Tribolium castaneum: one gene and its partners. The protein of the gene in region 3 binds, or shares a complex with, the protein of the main gene of each other region. Links are inferred from orthologs where the notes say so. Each region holds a gene or a part of one and is shown on either strand. Other genes may lie near its edges. The genes, in order: Prp6, U6 snRNA-associated Sm-like protein LSm5, U4/U6.U5 tri-snRNP-associated protein 1 and LSm7.

What was found.
Region 1: U4/U6.U5 tri-snRNP-associated protein 1 (region 3) and Prp6 share a complex: the UniProt entries of both Homo sapiens proteins name them as parts of the U4/U6-U5 tri-snRNP complex. The link is inferred for Tribolium castaneum from reciprocal best matches to the Homo sapiens genes SART1 and PRPF6.
Region 2: U4/U6.U5 tri-snRNP-associated protein 1 (region 3) and U6 snRNA-associated Sm-like protein LSm5 share a complex: the UniProt entries of both Homo sapiens proteins name them as parts of the U4/U6-U5 tri-snRNP complex. The link is inferred for Tribolium castaneum from reciprocal best matches to the Homo sapiens genes SART1 and LSM5.
Region 4: U4/U6.U5 tri-snRNP-associated protein 1 (region 3) and LSm7 share a complex: the UniProt entries of both Homo sapiens proteins name them as parts of the U4/U6-U5 tri-snRNP complex. The link is inferred for Tribolium castaneum from reciprocal best matches to the Homo sapiens genes SART1 and LSM7.

Annotation. Positions count from the first base shown.
Region 1 is NC_087399.1:6,874,759-6,880,497, reverse strand, and holds the start of Prp6 (pre-mRNA-processing factor 6), read right to left. Parts: upstream 3,518-5,739; 5' UTR 3,478-3,517; coding exon 3,383-3,477; intron 3,336-3,382; coding exon 3,276-3,335; intron 3,229-3,275; coding exon 3,162-3,228; intron 3,117-3,161; coding exon 2,917-3,116; intron 1-2,916. Other genes in the region: chitinase domain-containing protein 1, read left to right, coding at 3,602-3,859, 3,904-4,081, 4,130-4,330, 4,383-4,770, 5,737-5,739. UniProt on the Homo sapiens protein: Involved in pre-mRNA splicing as component of the U4/U6-U5 tri-snRNP complex, one of the building blocks of the spliceosome.
Region 2 is NC_087394.1:33,639,908-33,643,948, forward strand, and holds U6 snRNA-associated Sm-like protein LSm5, read right to left. Parts: upstream 1,985-4,041; 5' UTR 1,848-1,984; coding exon 1,805-1,847; intron 1,702-1,804; coding exon 1,505-1,701; intron 1,423-1,504; coding exon 1,393-1,422; 3' UTR 1,363-1,392; downstream 1-1,362. UniProt on the Homo sapiens protein: Plays a role in pre-mRNA splicing as component of the U4/U6-U5 tri-snRNP complex that is involved in spliceosome assembly, and as component of the precatalytic spliceosome (spliceosome B complex).
Region 3 is NC_087395.1:24,228,055-24,233,764, reverse strand, and holds U4/U6.U5 tri-snRNP-associated protein 1, read right to left. Parts: upstream 2,801-5,710; coding exon 2,623-2,800; intron 2,576-2,622; coding exon 1,929-2,575; intron 1,877-1,928; coding exon 509-1,876; 3' UTR 195-508; downstream 1-194. Other genes in the region: APC7 (anaphase-promoting complex subunit 7), read left to right, coding at 2,943-3,011, 3,059-4,207, 4,459-4,932; PR domain zinc finger protein 10, read right to left, coding at 5,376-5,404, 5,448-5,616. UniProt on the Homo sapiens protein: Plays a role in mRNA splicing as a component of the U4/U6-U5 tri-snRNP, one of the building blocks of the spliceosome. May also bind to DNA.
Region 4 is NC_087399.1:1,125,175-1,128,962, reverse strand, and holds LSm7 (U6 snRNA-associated Sm-like protein LSm7), read left to right. Parts: upstream 1-2,183; 5' UTR 2,184-2,316; coding exon 2,317-2,343; intron 2,344-2,397; coding exon 2,398-2,712; 3' UTR 2,713-2,784; downstream 2,785-3,788. Other genes in the region: ENGase (cytosolic endo-beta-N-acetylglucosaminidase), read left to right, coding at 1-1,064, 1,251-1,723, 1,775-1,892; glucose-induced degradation protein 4 homolog, read left to right, coding at 3,145-3,291, 3,482-3,649. UniProt on the Homo sapiens protein: Plays a role in pre-mRNA splicing as component of the U4/U6-U5 tri-snRNP complex that is involved in spliceosome assembly, and as component of the precatalytic spliceosome (spliceosome B complex).

The DNA of each region.
Region 1 (5,739 bases), on a different chromosome or scaffold from region 3:
ATCAGCAATCCACTTAGAAAAAAATGAATCCAGCTTAACATAAAATTATTTTATATAATCCAAGGATGGTTTTAGGTTTAATTTTAAAACTGTCGTATCAGAACAGATTTTTTTTTATTTTGGGATGAATATCATAATTCACTGTTAATTTCAGTCCTATCAAAAAAAATTAATCAAAGAGTAGTTCTACAAGCGTCTAGCAGGAGCAAAATTTGCTATGCCCGAGGCCCATTGGAAAATATTTGCTTTGGGAGCAAAAATCTTTATGAATTCGTACAATTCATTGATACTGGCTAATAAAAAAAGTAAAAATTTCTACAAGAGTCCAGTCGATAGTTTCCGGTATGCCATAAAAAACATAGAATTGTTGACGTGTCTCTTCAAGTTTTTACAGTGTACAGTGTATGTGAGAAATGCCAAGAAAAAAATGTATAGAGAAATTTAATTATTAATTCAAATGTCAGACCGTTAGATACCTTTTTCATTCTGCTACATTTTGTAAAAATTCACAAAATCTGTTGATAAGTATTAAAAAAACTCCAAAAAAAAAATATTCTAAGAAGCAATAGATCATTTACGACCAATTTTAATCTCAAAATAGAACTTGTCATGAAAATGCTTTGCGGAAATTTCGGCCTTTTCGAGAAAAATTAGTGCAGGAAAAGTTTGAAATGTATCCAAAATTCGTCGTTGTGTAAGATATTACAACAACATAAAAACAACACAAATCATAAAATTACAAAAAAGGAATAGTAATTTACCGATTTAAAAAACTTAAGAATAAAAATTGCATTAAAGAGGCAGTTAGCTGTCAAAATTTATAATTTTGGTCAGTCACCATGTGAAAAATTTCCCACAAGAATTTCTGAGAATAACGATTTTGTTGTCTCAGGGAAAAATCTCTAATTTTCCCATGGGAATTTTTTCACAAAAATTTAGTTCCAATATTTATGGTGCTATAAAAATATCATTGAATTAAATAGGTTGAATTGTAGTCTGTGTAAACAAAATAAGTCTCTGCTAAAAGTATATTTTTGTGTAATTAATTTTCCATTTGTTAGGCTATTGATTTCCTTTTTTACTCAACTAGAAATATTTATTTTTGCACTTAGGACAAATAAGTGTATTACCGACATGTTTAGTTTTTGTACGCACATTCCTGTACTAAACATTATCGAACAAGCTACCAAATATTCTAGGACATTCTTAATCTGGAATGAAAACACAAAAATATTTAAGGCTAGCTGAACATTTCCACAAAGCATAAAACAATCTTGTCTTATTTATTAAATTTAAACAAATAACTGAAAAGACATTGGTGTCTATATTATTAAATTCTCACTAAAAAAGTGGCTTTGTTGTAACTGTGTATCTTTTAGAACAACAAAGTTACAAATAGTTAAAGATGTCCTTAAAATTTACTCAAGAAAGTTTCAAAAGTTTCAGTGATTGGACCATAAAATTCACGTCCCCTTGTATTTTTCAGATATGTGCCTCGAAAAAAAAACATGACCTCTTTGTTTTCCACCTAATGATTATTGAGTAGTTACACCACAGATTATACTTTTTAATGGTGACGTTTTATCCATATTCTTGCCCAATTATCGTAGTACAGTTTAATTTAATCAGTTGGTCACTCGCTGTTGTCACAAACGGACGTCTCACAATAAAATAAGAATTTAACGATTTTAAAGTTTAAAATTCTCTGGCTAGTGCGTTTTGATCGCGGTTAGTGTGTACCACTTTAATGGCTTTCCAGGAAGAAAGCAAAAAAATAATCCGGTAAAAGTCTTAGTCTGCAATAATTTGCAATATTTTTACAAAAATTGCAATAAATCTGTAATGTTTTCAACAACTAATTTAACAGCACATTGTTCTACCGGTAAATATATCGTTTTTTATTTCAGTATTTTCGTCTTCAATTAGATGTTGGTTATGTGGTGTGTATTATTATTTATTAACATCTTGCACTAATTATGTTTTTTAATCTATTTTTAATGTTTTGCTACAAACTAGCAGAAGAAAAGCGCTAGTGTATTTTTTTTAAGATGTTAATTATGCGATATTATTAATATCCTGCAGTCTTGTAATATTTTCCAAACCGAATAACGTTATACTGGGGGTTCCTTTGTACAGAAGTTAACTGCCTTAGAATGTACTAAGTTACGTGAGTTCGTAAAAATGAAAAGATTTTATAATTATATTATTTACTTTAATTCCATAACGATTCAGAAGCGACCGCTTCCGAAGAAAAAAAAACAAATAATTGTACTAATTTTTGTTTTTTATTTATTTTTAATATCTTGCAACAAAATGTAACAGAAAAAGATGCCATAAAGGTAAGTGCATTTCTTTAATTCCATAACTATTCGCTTCCGAAGGAAAAAAACAAATAAATGTTACAGTAATTTTTGTTTTTTATTTTTTTTTAGCAGAAGATGTCATAAAGGTAAGTGCATTTATTTTTTCCATTTATTGTCAATAAAGGAGGTATTGAATAAGTGAAGTATTGAAAAGTAATAGTTTGAGTACTACATTTTAGAACACAGTAAAATATTATATTACATTGTACTGATTTTATTTCTAATTTCATAGTATAGATTCTTTTATAAGTAATTATAAATTTATTAAAATATATTTGTAAAATTGGAAAATTGTTCGTTTGAACATCTTGTCGACGATAAACGGCATAAAAAATAACATTTAATTTAAGAACAAAAATTTTAAAAAAAATGTTCAGCTGAACAAAAATTCTTCCTATAAATTATAGCAGAAGCAGATGCCGTAAAGTTAAGTACATTTTATTGTTATTGTCCATTTCAATGAAATGTGGAATACGTGGTGGTATTAACATATTGTATCAGCTTGTTTTGTAGCAGAAGATAGCAAGTTCAATTAAATTTCTGATTAAATTACCTTTCTTGTCGATATTTCTCCAATTCCTCCCTCAACCTCTTCTCCCTGTACTCCTTTCGCTTCTCGTCCATTCTCTTATCAATCGCTTCGTAAATCGCGTCAGCCTCAGCATCATCCTTATCGTAGGGATCTTTGGAAAAAAGTGACCCCCCATAACCGCTAAACTCATCATAATTCGAATCATTCAAATCTTCTTCTTCCTACAATAACACAGTCAACAAACACACACACTTTCGTCAACAAACCTCTTTCTCCTCCTCTTCATCTTTCTTTTTAGTGCGTTTTGCCGCCGGTGGGGCATGCCTATCATCCCTAAAACCACGAATTAAACCACACACAACCCCACTAACCCCACTTACGAAACGTCGTTGGCGTCCCTCGCTGGCCCGATATCAGACCGTGTGGTGAAGCCCGTAGCCCTGAAACACCACAATCACAAACATGTTAAAACAACCCCCTAACGCACCCTCGACCAACCCCAGCGACGTAACCCAAGGGCGCGGGGACCCCCAGGAAGTGCTTCTTGTTTCGGTTGACTAACGCCTGCGGTGGGGCTGCCATAACTAGCCCCAAACAAACACCAAGTCTAACCTTAAACCGAACGACTAGCAACGTTTTGACAGACGACAAATGTCAAACATTCACACATAACCTCACTCATTTTTCGAAATTCCAAATTTTTGAAATGTTTTCACGGTTTCTCATTCTTGTCACGTTGTTATCAGCTGTTCACGGGACGTTGACGCCGAAGTCGCGCAAGGATAAGCGCGACGATAAGTTCTTTGTGCACATCAAAACGGGGCCCCAAAACATTACCGTCTTTGACCGGAATTTGGTGACGGAAGCGGCCACTCCGAGGGAGGTTTTGCAGAATTATCTAGCGTATTTCAGGGAAATTGACAATTATCAGTTTGATGGGCTTGTGCTGGGCTACGTGACTCCTGTAGGTTCCAAGCTGCCGGTCAGGTTTTTTAAAGACAGTTTTAGTGGAACAATGAGGGGTACGACATTGCCAAAATTTTCGGGAACAAGTTTACGCACATTAGCCCCGTTTGGTTGGAAATCAAAAAATCAAACAACCGGTTTGACTTCAGTGGAACACACGATATTGACAAGAAGTGGATAATACACGTGAAAAATGCAGGACGGGAGAGGAAACTTAAAAGTATTCTTTCTTCAAGTCTGGAAAAACATTAATTAATAATTAATTCAGTTGTCCCTAGAATTCTCTTTAGTGGTTTGAATGAGAACCAAATGAACTCACTCTTCGACCCTAAAGAGCTGAAATCGTTAATTAAAACACTGATAACAACCGCGAAATCGTACAATTTCGACGGTTACGTGATCGAGATCTGGCCCCAACTCCAGATGGACATGAATTACGACCCCTTGATCAACCTTGTGAGAACCATAGGTGCCCCACCAGCCCCCTTATTTTACTGTTTTTCATTTTAAAAAATTCTTAGGGGACTCCCTGGCCTTAGAATCCTTAGACACAATCCTGGTAATTCCCCCGAAACGGGGCCGCAATTTGCCCTTCTCGGAGGATCATTTCAACGCATTATATGACCATGTGACTGCATTTTCCCTCATGACTTATGATTATTCCAACCCGAGGCGCCCCGGCCCCAATGCCCCCTTGACCTGGGTCGAAGACTGCATTAAAACCGTGTCTTCGCAAGAGTCCAAAAGGGGCAAAATTTTGACCGGTTTTAATTTCTATGGAAATCATTATTCTGAAGTCGGGGGAAAACCCATCCTGGGGCACGAGTTTATCCGAAAATTGGAGGAGAAATTGAAAACTGCGAGGATGATTTATGATCCACAAATCGCCGAGCATTACGTTGAATACGAGTAAGTTAATTAAAAAAAAATTAAGGAAATAACCATGAGTACAATAATATTTTTTCTGGTGTGCACATGTGTAATCTTGGTTGCATAATATTTTTAACAAAAAAATATACAGCTCAGCCTTTAAGTTTCTTTTTTATAGCACATGTTAAACTATTTCTTTTAAGTATTTAAAGTAGCACTTTAACCGCAAGGTTAAATTTACTTTATTCAACGAAATTTACAAATTACAACACATTAATTTAAAGGGTTAACATTTTTTTTATTTATTTAAACTTTAGAAAAAATGTGTTTTACACGACAATAAAAATTCGTTATCTATTCGTAAAATGTAAGTCCACTTGTGACTTCATCTCTTTTGAACTTAACTTTTCAATTCATAGATAAACAATCTCTTTAGTGACTTGTATATATAATAAATAACAATTTTTCAATAGCAGATGTTGAACTATTTCTTTATCTACTCTTTTGAGTAGATAAAAGAAAAATGAAAAAAATAAAAAACAAATTCCAGCTTTTAACAATTTTTTTTTCTTAAACTTGAAATCCTGCTGTAGAAAAAAATGTGTTATATACAACGATAAAGACTCTATATACTCGTGAAATATAAGTCCACTTGTCTCTTTTGAACTTAATCTTTTCAGCAGATGTTATGCTATTTTTTTATCAACTAGTTAATATAACACTTTAACCGCAAGGGACGATAAAATGAATTTAAAAAAATATAAAGTGAATAAAAAAATCCAATTAGGGTTAACAGTAATTTTTTTTCTCTTAAACTTGAATTCCTGCTATAGAAAAAATGTTGTTATCTACACGTGATCGCTCTTGAACATAACTTTTTCACTTAACAGTAGCTATTTTTATACTCATTCGATTATTTTCTTCATTTGCAACCAATAAAAGCATTGCAACCGATTTCTAAAACAAAGTAATGTTTTACGACGATTTGAGAATATAATTTTTTAGGGA
Region 2 (4,041 bases), on a different chromosome or scaffold from region 3:
AATTTGTTGCACGATAAGTGCTTGTTTTGTTATGGTTTGTTTTGTTACGTAGACATTTTTAACACAATTTTCTTGTTACGTTGGGTAAATTTGGTAGTAGTTCATACAAGGTTTGTATGTTCTGGTTCCAAACTTCCCGGGAGAAGTAAAATTAAAGATACAAAATTGTAAGAATAGGTACAAAATTAGCCAACTAGGATAAATGAACCACGGAGTGTGTCGTGGTGTTTTTCCAAGTTTTTCCTGATAGAGTTAGTTTGTGTAAAGGTTAACTAGGTATTACTAGACGACTGTGATTGGAACATGGCTCACTAAGGTGCGGTTTAAGAAATTAGTTGCCTTTGTAGTACTTATTATATTCATTAGTTACATCGAAATTAGCTTCTACGTTAGTTGAAAATTGTACAAATGAGGAATTACACTCAGGGTGACTACATGATACAGTCGGCTTTAATTTCAACAGACTTTAACGGGGATTAGTGCACAAGGGATTATGTTTATCCATATTTCGGAATAATAGGCATAATTTATGTATCGTGCAGTCAACCTTTTTAAATCAAAATAGATATTACAAATTGTGGTTGATGAATAATGAGTTTACGATTCGTTGACTATAAGAGATGTTTAATGCAAACCCTGAATACAGTATTTTCTGAGATTAAACTTAACAAAGTTTCAAAATTCTGTAGAGTAGTTTAATCAGAAACTTAAACTTGAATAGTATTCTAACTGTGATTAAAAATGTCTATTCTATTTCTATAAATGAATAACAGTACAACGGTGTTTTATTTCACCCCCACCTTAGTTTAGTGATTCGTAGAATGCGCTGGAACAAACCATTTTGCTTTACGACTTTTTTGAGTTACGACTTTTTTTAGTGAAAAAAAAATGCTGCTGGCCGGCTCTCTTCAAATTATGGAACTATTTTGGTCCAAACCTATATAAATGTTCCGGGTACCGGAAATCGAGACAAAAAATTGGATAAAAAAAATCGAACATATGGACTTTTAGCAACTCCAGTGGGTTCTAAATTGCGTAAAAAGCTGATATATGGTAAAATGAGCCGCAAAATTCACTGGAACGAACCGTTTTTACGACTTTTAGTTATTTTCTAACGTCGTTCCATTCCTTTTTTCATTGTAAAGGCCTGGAGTAGTTGGCAACACATTATACAACAAGATAAGGTGGTTGCCTAACCCGCGATTACAAAGTAATGTTCTGAACAACTTATTTTTTTGTGTTAAAAGGCCCAGTTAGGACAAATTTGACACAAACACATCTCTCCTTAAATGTACAGTGTTGTTTTCATCAAAAATAAGAGCTTTTTATGATACAAAAAAGGGTATTAAACAAACACAAAAATGCCCTTATTTTATACTTTATTCAAATGACTTACTCTGGCATCTCTCCACCTGGAACAAGCTAAAATTTTGAATTAGTTTCAAGAATTAATTAGATACAGTATGGCATATTAAACATAAAAACGAAGCACAAAATAAAGTACCATTGTTATATTGTTCCCATTAAGCAGAATTTGGTCCAATTTAGTAATTCTCCTTCCTTCAGGCGTTGTTTCATATTCCGTTACATCCTCCAGTAACATATTGACAAAATCATCAAAGCCTAATAACGTCCCCACGATTTCCTTATCATTTTTCATAATAATATGGATCCTTGACCCTATACACTTATCCACAAGTTCTACAATAGCAAAAACAACGTTAATAAATTAATGATTATTATTGAATGCTCAAACACCGGCAGATAACCAAAAAAACACGTTACGTTTTTTTGCTTTACTCACCTAACGGAAGCAAGGTGGAAGAAGACACAGGCATGGAAGTCATTCTGACCGTTTAATAATACGTTCAAATAATTATAAATTCTTAAATTAGCAATAAATATTTGAAACAACTGTTTACATTTACAAACAGCAAAAAGTAATCAATTTGACAGTAAAAAGGATTTTGACAGGAGCTTAATGGCGCTAGTGTCGCAACTACAGCAAAAAGCTCAAGCTAGGACTTACGTTACGGAACCGAACAATTTAATAAACGATCAAAATACGGCTTAAGACAATTACAAAAAGTAGTGGCACACGTTTGTTAAGACTTTACCGCCTTATGGTTACATTTTTACGGCGTGGAATGCATGAATTGTTTTTATTTTTTATTTCTTTTGGAGCGCGTATGTGCGAGCTTGGAGCTCTTGCAGTGTAACAGGTCATGCGCTTTGCGGCTTTCTTCGGTATTTCAGTCGTTTGTCGTTTTCGTCAAATGCCGACCGAGGTGGGAGTTGAGTGTGTTGTAGTTGTAGGTTTTGTGTTTTTTGTAATAAATAATCGTATTTTTAAGTGAACTTGTGTCTAAAATCGTGACAATAATGTTCGTGGAGTAAATTTTGGAATTTAAAATCATCAATTTGTAATAAAAGGTCAGTATACTCCAGTTAATTGAAACAATGGTGTTATTTTGGTTTAGCCTATATTTACGTTCTCTAAGAGCTTTATACCCCTACACATTGATTTATTCCTCTTTAATATGATTTATAACGCTCTATTTTTATAACACGACAGCTCGAGAGCGTATAATTTATATCGGGGAATAAATGGTAATTGTAGCAGAATGTGAATGCTTAGCTATTTTTATTTCTCAGGAGTTTTTCTTTTATTTATATTCGTGTTACAGTTATCTTGGAAGAGTTCAGTTGCCCTGTCCATGCTGTTTAAATAAACACATTAAAATGCTACTTGCAGCAAACAATATTCTATTATGATAACTTGACCACTGTGGTTGACATTATCATTATGTGGATTATTATAATGAAATTGTGATTAGACACGACCGATATACCTATGGGAATAATAAACATTCTTTGGATATACCGCTAACAAGGAATGTGGCCAGGAAATTCCTGAACGAATTTGTATTAATCATATTCTATTTTTCCCAACGTTCCTCACACAAAGTGTTTGTTTCCACAGATTTTTATAAAGTTCACGTTAGTTCTAATGTATTCCAATATTTGTGGCGAAAGAAAGTAAACTCATCTCCATTTCCCTGAAAGCTATTAAGAAAATGTCAAGTGGATTTCCACATTTTTACTTTCAGCATATTACAGGTACACAGGAGGAAAGCAACCAAAAGACATGCAAACGACAGGATATGCCGTTGAAATGGGCATTTTTAGATAAAAGACAAGTTATTTACTCATGTCAAACGCAAATTGTTTTGATTTTAAGCACAAAAAGTGTACAAAGTAATGATTACTTCCAACACCAAACATAGGAACTTAGACACTTTGCTAAGCAGTAGTGTTTATAAATCATGACGTTGTTTACCTAAATATCAACGCGGAACATAAATCTATAAGTGGGGAATATCAACACTGATGTAGAACTATGAATAAAATTTGAATAATTTTGATGTATCGATTTCAGCATTGTGCATTATTACCGATGCCAGAACGCATATCATGAGCATGAAAAGCAGGAGTGGTGAAAGTAATAACTTTGACAATAACTGTAGAACGCATAATAGGATGGACTTAACGGACCATCGCGTATAAAAACGCCATGATATGTTTATACAAAAAATACGCTTAATGCTTTATTGTATTCTAAATTCAAAGAACAAAGCGCCAAAATACTTTCAAATTTTTACATGATAAGCTTCTCGTGACTTCCTCAAGGTGAGTCTAAAATATAAACTAATTACTACACAAAATTCAGCGTTTGCTATTAAATATTCTCTGTGCATGTGATTTTTTGTGACTAATTATTATAGTCGCTGCACAGAAAAACTATTACTCCTTATGTCATTCATAAAATAACCGATGCTCAAATGGTGTTTTGGGCAAAAATTCACGTAAATTAACAAATAAACGTATTTTTTACGTACAGAATCAGTCGTGTGGTGGACTTTCAGTGCTTCGTAAAATTTGCTTGAGACTGATGTCTGGAAAACCAAACATAGAATTCAAATGCAAAATAGCTGAACACATTTGTGTTTTAACTAATAAAAAAAGAAGAGACAAAAAATT
Region 3 (5,710 bases):
GATTACCGTGCAATCCCTATCCTAATCATGACTGATAATGGTGCTCACGGAAGTGACGTGAAAGGTCACGTCGAGAGCTGGTCATCAACCATTTATTTTTTTAATTAACTATAACTTTCTGTTCAATATTTTCCTTTATTACCGTTTTGTTGGAAAATATGGGAAATTGGTAATTTCTAATTAAAACACGGAACTCACTTTTAATTCATTTCATTTATCGCAAAAATTATTACACCGTTTGTACTCGTAGGGAGCCAGACTTTAAAACTTATTCATAAAACCATTATCATTATCGTACCCGTCCCTTAAAAACGATCTACAAAACAAAAACATTTCGTAACACTTTTCGTTAGGACTTTGTAAATAAAAACTGATAAAAATGAAACAATTTATACAATTTACAATGATGCCCAGTTTTCCTTAATTTAAAATTGCCACTTCTTTTTAGAGTAGCGCTGAATTTTGTTCACACAAAATTATAGTATTTATTTATTCTTAGTCATTTTACTTAACGCCGACTTTTGGAAATAACCGCCGTTTGCTGGCTCTGCTTGTTCCCCGACAAGACCACATACGGCGACTGCGTCTCCTTCTGCTTCGCTTGCAGCATATTCAAAGTCCCTAAGGGCGTATCCGTCGAACTCATCTTCTTCATCAACTGCTCCTGCACGCCCTTCTTTATCCTCTTCTCGATCTTATTTTTCCCCGGCCCTTTCCCGTGGAACTTATGCGAGAGATACCTGAAGGCCTCCTTCGAGTTCAACACGTGCCCATCATCGTCGATATACTCCAACTTAACATTGGGCTTAAACCCATCCTTCTCCTTAAACTCCATAATGGGGCCAGTGTACCTCTCCCGGCGGTTCGCGCGATCGCCCTCATCCCCGTAGGTCTTGTCCTCGATAGAGTAATGCTTGGCTTGCAAATGCGCTAACCGCGAATTCGACGGCCTCTTATTCTGCTCCTTGTCCAGGTACCCCTTGCTCATTGCAAGCTTCAAAGCTGCCCCAAGCCCTGTACTGACATCAGGCTCTTCGTCGAGGATTTGCACCTCTTGTGGGGCAATTTGCGGGCTTTCGTGCGGCTCGTTTGGATCGACTGAATTCCAGCCGGTTTTCTCCTCCTGCTCGACTTCGTCCATTTCGGGCTCGTCTTTCAGATCACGCTCGAAATCGATCAAATCTTCGGTTTCCTCGCGGTTGCCGGACTTGCCGTACGTTGGGATGTCGCCCAAAGTGCGGCAAAACTCCGCCGTGGCGTTCAGAACAATACTCCCCTCCAGGTTTTCCTCACTTTCGCTTTTAACCGGCGTTGATTTAACAATCTCAGCAACGAGGTTCTCCTTCTGTTTGATTTTGCGTGTCTTGTGCAGCGCTTTTTCCAAGAGATCGTCCTTCTCGTCCTCGAGTTTGACGTCCGTGGGGTATTCCATTTCGGGGATGTCGTCAATGGTCAAGTCTTCGAGCTCTTTCTTTGGGCGTCTTGAGCCGACTTCCTCGATGCCTTTGTTGTTAATTTGTTGCTCCAATTCATCAGCGGTCAGTTTTCCCTTAGTTCGGATTTTGCGGACTTTCTTTTTGGGTTTTTTAAATTTGGACAGTTCCTCGTCGTTGTAATATTCCGATGCGAGTTTTAAATCTTTTGTTTCAATCGATTCGATTCTTTTTTTGGCGAGTTTTTCCTTAATTGATTGCACGATTGCTTGTTTACGTTCAACCGCATTGTCGTAACCGATTTTGAAGCTTTCGCGTTTTTCGCCGTCGATTGTTTCGTCGTATTGGGCCAAAAGCGACTTTTCTTTGGGGTTGCCAAACTCGTCGTACTCCTGGTCTTCGTAGGCGTTATACAAAATCTTCTTCTTCTTGTTTATAACGTTCTGAAATTTGATGATAAATAATCATTCACTGTAAATATTTGTAACAAATTACCTTTTTGTATCTCTCGTCCTCAACCATGTTGACATTGACCAGGACATCCTCCTTGTCTTCATCCAAGACGCCCTTGTCTTGCAGCGTCAAGATAACATCCCTTTCCTCAGCAAAGCTATCAACATCATGCTCCACCCTCAGCCCTTTCAAATTCCTCTCAGTGTATCTCTGCTTCCTCTTCTCCTTCTTCTCATTCTCCACAAACTCGCTGACCCCAAACTGCTCATCCAACTCCTCCAACATTTTCGCCCTTTTCTCAGCCTCCTTCTTGGCCAATTCAATCTTGCGGTTCTTATCAACCCACGACTCCACATTATCATCACTATCACTGTCCCCCAGCAGCTTCACCTTGCCCAGCTTATTCTCCAGCTGGCGCTTTTCCCGAATCGTTGTCAATTTGCCCTTCAGCTTCTCCCTCTCGTGCTTATCCGCCCAATTCTCCGCCGGCTTGTGGTAAAACTCGCCCCAATCGTCCTTCTTCTTCCCGTCATCCCGTTTCTTCTCGGACTTGTCCCCCGAACTCACATCGAGCGGCTTCAGGCCGAGCTTCGCCCGCAGTTTGTTCGTTTCCTCAATCGAGAGACTCTCAGCGTTTTGCCCGGAGCCCGAAGGCTCATCGTCCGGAATCACCTCGATCACGTCGGATCCTGGCAAAAAATCATTCAAACGGGAAAGTTGGACGCGGGGTGCTTACCGTCGCTGTCGTAGTCGTGCTTCGCCCTCGCGTCGCGCTTCTTGTCCCTGTGGTGCCTCTTGTGGCGGTGGCGCTTCTCCTTCGGGGGCTCATGCTCGTCGGTGTAGCCGGGGCTGTGGTGGCGCCGCTTACGAGACTCTTTCTCTTTTTCTTTGTATTTTTTGCTACTAGAACCCATCCTTTTTACAAAATTTGAAGGAAATACCTACCGTACACAACGTCAATGCAACGTTTTGACGTGCGCGAAATCCGGATTGGTGGTTTCGCCGTTACGGGATTTGCCGAGTTCAAAAACCTAACCCCACATTTGCCAAGCCAAGATGACCAACTTATTGAAGCAATTGCAGGCGATGTACGAGCTTGCCCTGCACTCGAACATCTCCCGAGTGGTTTGTAGCCCCCTTTTGGGAGTCTGAGCCCCCAACTGTGCTTTTAGTGCGACTTGGCCCTGTCGGCGTCCGAGCAAAAGCCCGACTTTTTGCCCCCTTTGCAGAAGTTCCAGGTGATGTTGCTGTACGCCGATTCGCTGTACGAGACGCAACAGTTCGCCCAAAGCGAGAGTTTGTACCGCCAGGCCTTACAGCTCCGCAAACACCTCTTAAAAACCAAGTCAATGTCTAATAAAATCACGGAGAGTCAGCCCGAACTGGCCAGCGATGTGGAGATCAGGTTCAAGATACACAAGTGCTGCATGGCCCTGAAGCAGGTGAATGGGGCCATCGAGATGCTGCAGTCGATTCAGGCCCGCCTGCGGACCCCCAAAGTCAACATGGCGCTCGGCAACTTGTACAGGGAGGCCGGGATGGAGCGCTCGGCCATAACGTGCTACAAGGAGGTGCTCCGGGAGTGCCCGCTGGCCCTCGAAGCCGTGGAGAACTTGCTCAAGCTGGGGGTGAAAGGGGTCGAAGTCAACGCACTAATGGTGGAGGCAACTTCCGAACTAAACTGGCTAAACCTCTGGCTCAAAGCACAAGCCCAGTTGTACTCGCGCGACTTCGAAAACGCCGCCCAAACGTACAAAAGCATGGACAGCCACGGTCTACTCAAAGACAACACGTCGCTGCTGGTCAACCTGGGCTACTGCTACCACTACATGTGTGAGGACGAGACGGCGATTGCAGTCCTCCAGCGGGCGATTAAACTCGACCAGAACCTAGTCTTTGGTCGCGATTTACTGGCCACGCTTTTGGCGAGCTCGGGGACTTCCGAACACGTTGAGTATTTGGAGGATTTGATCCCGACCTCGGATATGTCGCTGTGGACGAGTGAGCATTGGGTGGTCATTGGCAATCTGATGTTTTCGACGAGACGGCACGAAAAAGCCGTTTATTTCGCACAGCAGGCGCTTTGTGCCTCGCCCAAAAACATAGAGGCGTTGCTGCTGAAAGCCAAGACGCTGGTGGAGCTCAGCAAGTACCAGGATGCCGCCCAGCATTGCACGGAAGCGATCCAGATCTGTCCGTTTCGATACGACTTGCACCAGTGTTTGGTCGAGTGCTATGTGAAGATGAATCGGCTGAGGGAGGCCGACTCCATGGCGCAAAATGCGTGCAAACAGCTCAATTTCAGCCCACATTCGGTTACGGTAAGTGAAAAAATTGTAATACGGTAAAGAGAGAATTGGCTGTTAGACTGTTTTTTTGGGACGAATTATTTTAAAAACGTATCACTTTTTTTTCGTTTGCCTTCATCTGGCAAACTAATGCGCTATCTGAGAGGAATATCGGGATGGGACGTTGTCTTTGCTTTAGGTGTCGAAACGGATTAGGCGCCATTAAGTTGTTTTCTTATTTATTCCTCAAATAACAACAATTACAAAAAATAGTTTCACTGCAGTTGCACGCCTCCGTTTTACTCAAAGACCCGATGACGTCCGGGAAAACGGTGCGAAACCTCCTCGAGAAGGCCGTGAGCCAAGACAAGACGTTTTCCACTAAGGCCGTCTGTATGCTCGTGGAGTTGCTCGAGCAGGAGCAGCAGTACGACCAAGCTCGGCAGCTCCTGCTGAAGCACGTGGAACAGCACCCCACCTCGCGCATCCACCAGATGCTGGGCGACTGCTACGTCAATTTGAACAAGGACAGCGAGGCTTTCCACCACTACAACGTGGCCCTGCGGCTCGACCCGTCCAACCAGAGGGCGACCGAGGGCCTGAGTTGCATCGGACGCAACGTGTCTTTAAGCAAAAGGGAGAGCTACTACACCTGCGTGGGGGAGACGTCGTACACGTCGCCAGGGACGAGCGCCTCCGAGGACGATGTTTTTGTCCAGAACGATACCGAACCCTGGCCTACCAATATGAGTTTCTAGGTGATAACAATTTTTTTTACAATAAAAATATTTAAAGTCACGCGACTTTGTTTTCAACAATCACAGGGTTACATTTCCCTAATTATTTACGTGTTAAAATACAAAGTGTTAGTACTATCACGGGGAAAAGGTTTCATTTCTTTTAGAATCTAGGATACATTTTTGACCCAAACAAACGTCCCTAAGCTAAACACAAGCGGCCGCGGCCAAGCCAAACAATAAGCGCTTGTTCGTTTATAAATTTGTTACAATTAAGACAATTATTGCTAAAATAATCTCAATTTCCCAAAATTCTCTTCGCCTCTCGTTCTATTTTGTTACTTTTTGCATTTTATTAAATACGTAGGTTTCAACCTACGGCACAAACTCGCTCAAAATCACTCAGTTGAGTGGAAATCTCACAAAGGAGCACCGGAAATACTCGAAATCCTCGAGGTTTTTCTTCAACGTGGTGGCACTAAACCTGGAAGTTCTAAAACACAATCAATTTTTTTTATCTCGGGGAAAATATTCACCGTTGCTCGTTGTCAGTAAGCGAAACAAATGCGAATTGGGGGCCCCCAAATCCCCAGTTGACTGCTCAAACTCGTCCCCACCTTCAATCGCAACAAAATGACAAAACTGCTCCCCTCCGCGTTTGTTATATTCTTCGAGGGCGCTGTTCAAAATATCGCTCTCAGACACCTGCGGAAACATTAACATTTTTTTATTACTTGCTATATTATTAAAAAAAAAAAATGAGAGCGCGGACCGCGGACTAAACATAGTGATTCCTGCG
Region 4 (3,788 bases), on a different chromosome or scaffold from region 3:
AATTCGAGTGTTTTCCAATCACATCATTGGACAACATCTCCGAAGTGATCGAAAACCCGCCCCAGTGGGTGAGCCGAGTCGCGCCCTTGACCGAGCGCAGCCCCACAGTAGTGCAAAACATAATTTCGGATTGTCATTGCGATGCGAAAAAATTCGGTCCACGAACGCGTCTCGATAAGAGATTTGTTCCCAAAACTTTAGTGTGCCATGACTACAAAGGTGGCTATTTGGAAGACAGGTTTTTGTCAAGTAGCAACATCGGGAATTTGTACTCGTTTTATAATTGGCAACACATCGATATTTTCGTTTACTTCAGTCACCACCTAATCACAATCCCACCTTTGTGTTGGATAAATGCCGCGCATCAAAACGGCGTGAAAATTCTTGGAACTTTGATAACAGAATTCGAGCCGGGGAAAAAAATTTGCGAGAAGATTTTCAAAGACGAGGACACGATGCGAATTTTCGCAACTTCTTTGACCCAAATTTTGAAAATTTTCCAATTCGACGGGTGGCTCCTCAACATCGAAAACTCGCTCCAAGACACCGAAATGTTGAAAAAATTCGTTGCCTACTTAGGGGTGCAAACGCACACCCAAAACCCCGACCATTTAATCATCTGGTACGACAGTATCATTGAAACGGGCGAATTGAAATGGCAAAATGAGCTCAACCCCCTTAATAAATTTTTCTTCGATAATTGTGACGGTATTTTCCTCAATTACGTATGGACTGAGGAAAATATCCACAATTCGATTGAATTTGCAAAGCATCGGACTTTGGACGTTTACGTGGGGGTGGATGTCTTCGGTCGCAATACCTTCGGAGGCGGTCAATTCAACTGTTTCAAGGCCGCCCAGATGATAAGGAGACACAACTTATCAATGGCGATTTTCGCGCCAGGCTGGACGCACGAAACGCTGCCCAAAAGTGAAAATCGGCAAAAATTCTTCGAGGATTTTATTAATCGAGACTCGGCTTTTTGGAACAGTCTGTGGCCCTATTTATACACGCATCCCATTACGAGGTTCTTCAAGACCAGTTTTTTCACTGGAGTTAACCAGGTATTTAACTAATTAATTAGTTATAACGCGCCCAAGTTCGTATTACGAAAAATAGTTCGCCCTTTCTCTCTCACTCTTTCCTATCGGAACTCCTATAGCTCTGTCCTTGTCTTATGTAAATAGCGGGTTATAACTTTTTAAGTAAAATTATAATAACTTAATAAAAACAAATGCATTAATTTTAAGGACGTCTACGACCTGTTCACGCAACACCCGCAACTCTCAAAAATCAAGCACCCAAAGTCACTAGAATGGGTCCCCAACCACCACGAAATACCAACACTGAACAATAAGTGCAACTGTTTACAGTGTGCTTTCACCAGTACTGGTGTTAGGTGTTTAATTACTAAAGAATTTTTGAATAGTTCAATATGTTACGTCCATCGTATTTTCACCTGTGATATTTTCCTATCTGGAGTTATCACAATTTACGTTTTGACGAAACTAGTACGCGCACAAGCCGCTCAATTAAGTTTAAATCTCCTCACTTCGGATAAAAACGGTACAATTAGAAAAATTAAATGCAATAGCACCGTCAAAGAACACCTAATTAAAAACTGTACGTTAATGGAAATCAATCCTTCGATAAACCCCTCACTTGTTAATCACGTCGTTAGAAGTAACGACGATTTGTTTCTACACGAAAATTTAACAATTGCGTAAGTCGGTCACACGTTTGGTAGGAAAAAAAAACTAATTAACTTTTTCAGTGTTTATCAGTTTGATTGTTCGCCGTGTACGTTATTGGAAATTGGATGTACGTTAGAGGAGGGAAAAGCGATTTATTTGTGCGGTCTTGGAGTCGAAGAGCACGTTCTAGTACTCTGACACAACTTTCGTGACCAACAGTACAAACAATTTTCTGCCATACTGTACATTTTGCCAGGGCTTGAAGCCCAAATAGTTAACATGTATTAATGCTTTAGTAACGCCCCAATGTGTAAATAACTTTTTTTGAATAAATGATAACCGAGAATTTTGCATTTTTCATTTGAAACTTTGTACCTCCACTGCGCAAGCAGTCCTCTACAAATTGTGTCCCAAAATTGCGTCAATTTTTACGTAATTCTTTAGAAGCTAAGAAAATTAATTACGAAATTGCTGGACTTTACAAACCGATAATTATTTTTTTTTATTTCAAAATTAATCGGAAGGTTCCGTGCGCATAGGAGACCATATGCACGCGTCACCTCCAAACGTATTCTAGGTTAGAATTTCAAAATCGGCAAAATTCCACAAATAAAGCCGAACAATGGCATCGTCAGGTGACAAATCAAAAGTACGTACCCCAAACTGCCCCATTTCGCCCCCTCAACCCCCATTTTTACCGTAGAATCAGAGCGGTGACCAAAAAGAGAAGAAACGTAAAGAGTCGATTCTAGACCTCTCTAAATACCTTGAAAAGACAATTAGGGTGAAATTTGCGGGCGGCCGAGAAGCTAGTGGTATTTTAAAAGGCTATGACCCCCTTTTGAACCTCGTCTTAGACAACACAATCGAATACTTGAGAGATCCAGACGACCCTTATAAATTAACAGAAGACACGAGGGCCTTGGGTTTGGTGGTCTGTAGGGGCACAAGTGTCGTGCTCATATGCCCCATGGACGGCATGGAGTCCATACAGAACCCCTTTATATCCCAAGACTAAGTTTTGTACCATAAAAATACCTCTAATTTGTAAGACGTTTTTTTGAATAAAACCGGTAAAAAATTAATAAAACTGTTTTATTGCACAAACTAGCTCAATAAATTAATTAGAAGTTTAGTTATAATGAGCGTAAGCAACCACCAATGCTTATAACCAAAAGTAATTAAAGCGTACACACAAAAAACGTGTTAATTACGCTTGAGATTAACGAATAATTGCCCCAAATAATAAATCTGGGTTGATTCAGTTGATTGCAAAAATGGGTTTTTCTGTCCAAAACTACGGTTGAGTACAGTCGCCCACACATTTAATGGCCCTGTTGCGCACCGAGCATGCGCAAAAACGCTCTGACCGACTCGGATGACTCACCGCCGCCATTTTCCTTTCAAAAAAGTGACATTGGTGACAGTTGAGTGCAAAAGTGCTTTAAAAATGCCGGTCAGGGTGGATATTACGCCTCCCCCGCCGGCCAATTCAAAACAGCCGGGGGTAACAAAGTCCCTCTTATACAACGGCTCCAAATTTCAAGGTTTCCAGAAATCGAAAGGCAATTCGTACGAAGTGGAAGTGGTTTTACAGGTTAGAAGTTGCAAATAATCGCACCATTGCCCCCCTTAACCAAAATTTCGATGACTTTGTACCGTTCGAACCCTTGTAGGACGTGTGACGTCCCTTTTGCTCACCGCTTATTTAAAGAAAACTAAAAATATCAACATATGCTAATGCAATCCGAAATGGCGGGAAATTTAAATTTCGCTCGTTTTTCCAGCACGTCGACGAGGAAAACTCCTATTTGTGTGGCTATTTGCAAATTAACGGGCTCACCGATGAGTATCCCACCTTGACTACGTTTTTCGACGGCGAAATTATCAGCCAAAAGTACCCGTTTTTGACCAGAAAGTGGGACGCCGACGAGGACGTGGACAAAAAACACTGGGTGAGCACCCAAATCTTTGTTTTTAGCACAATTTCAAAAATTACAAGTAGCCAAGCATCGCAGCTCACTATCTTATAATTATTATTTTCACAATCTAGAAGGCGCCAACCCAAATGTCAACTGTTAATGGACAGTCACA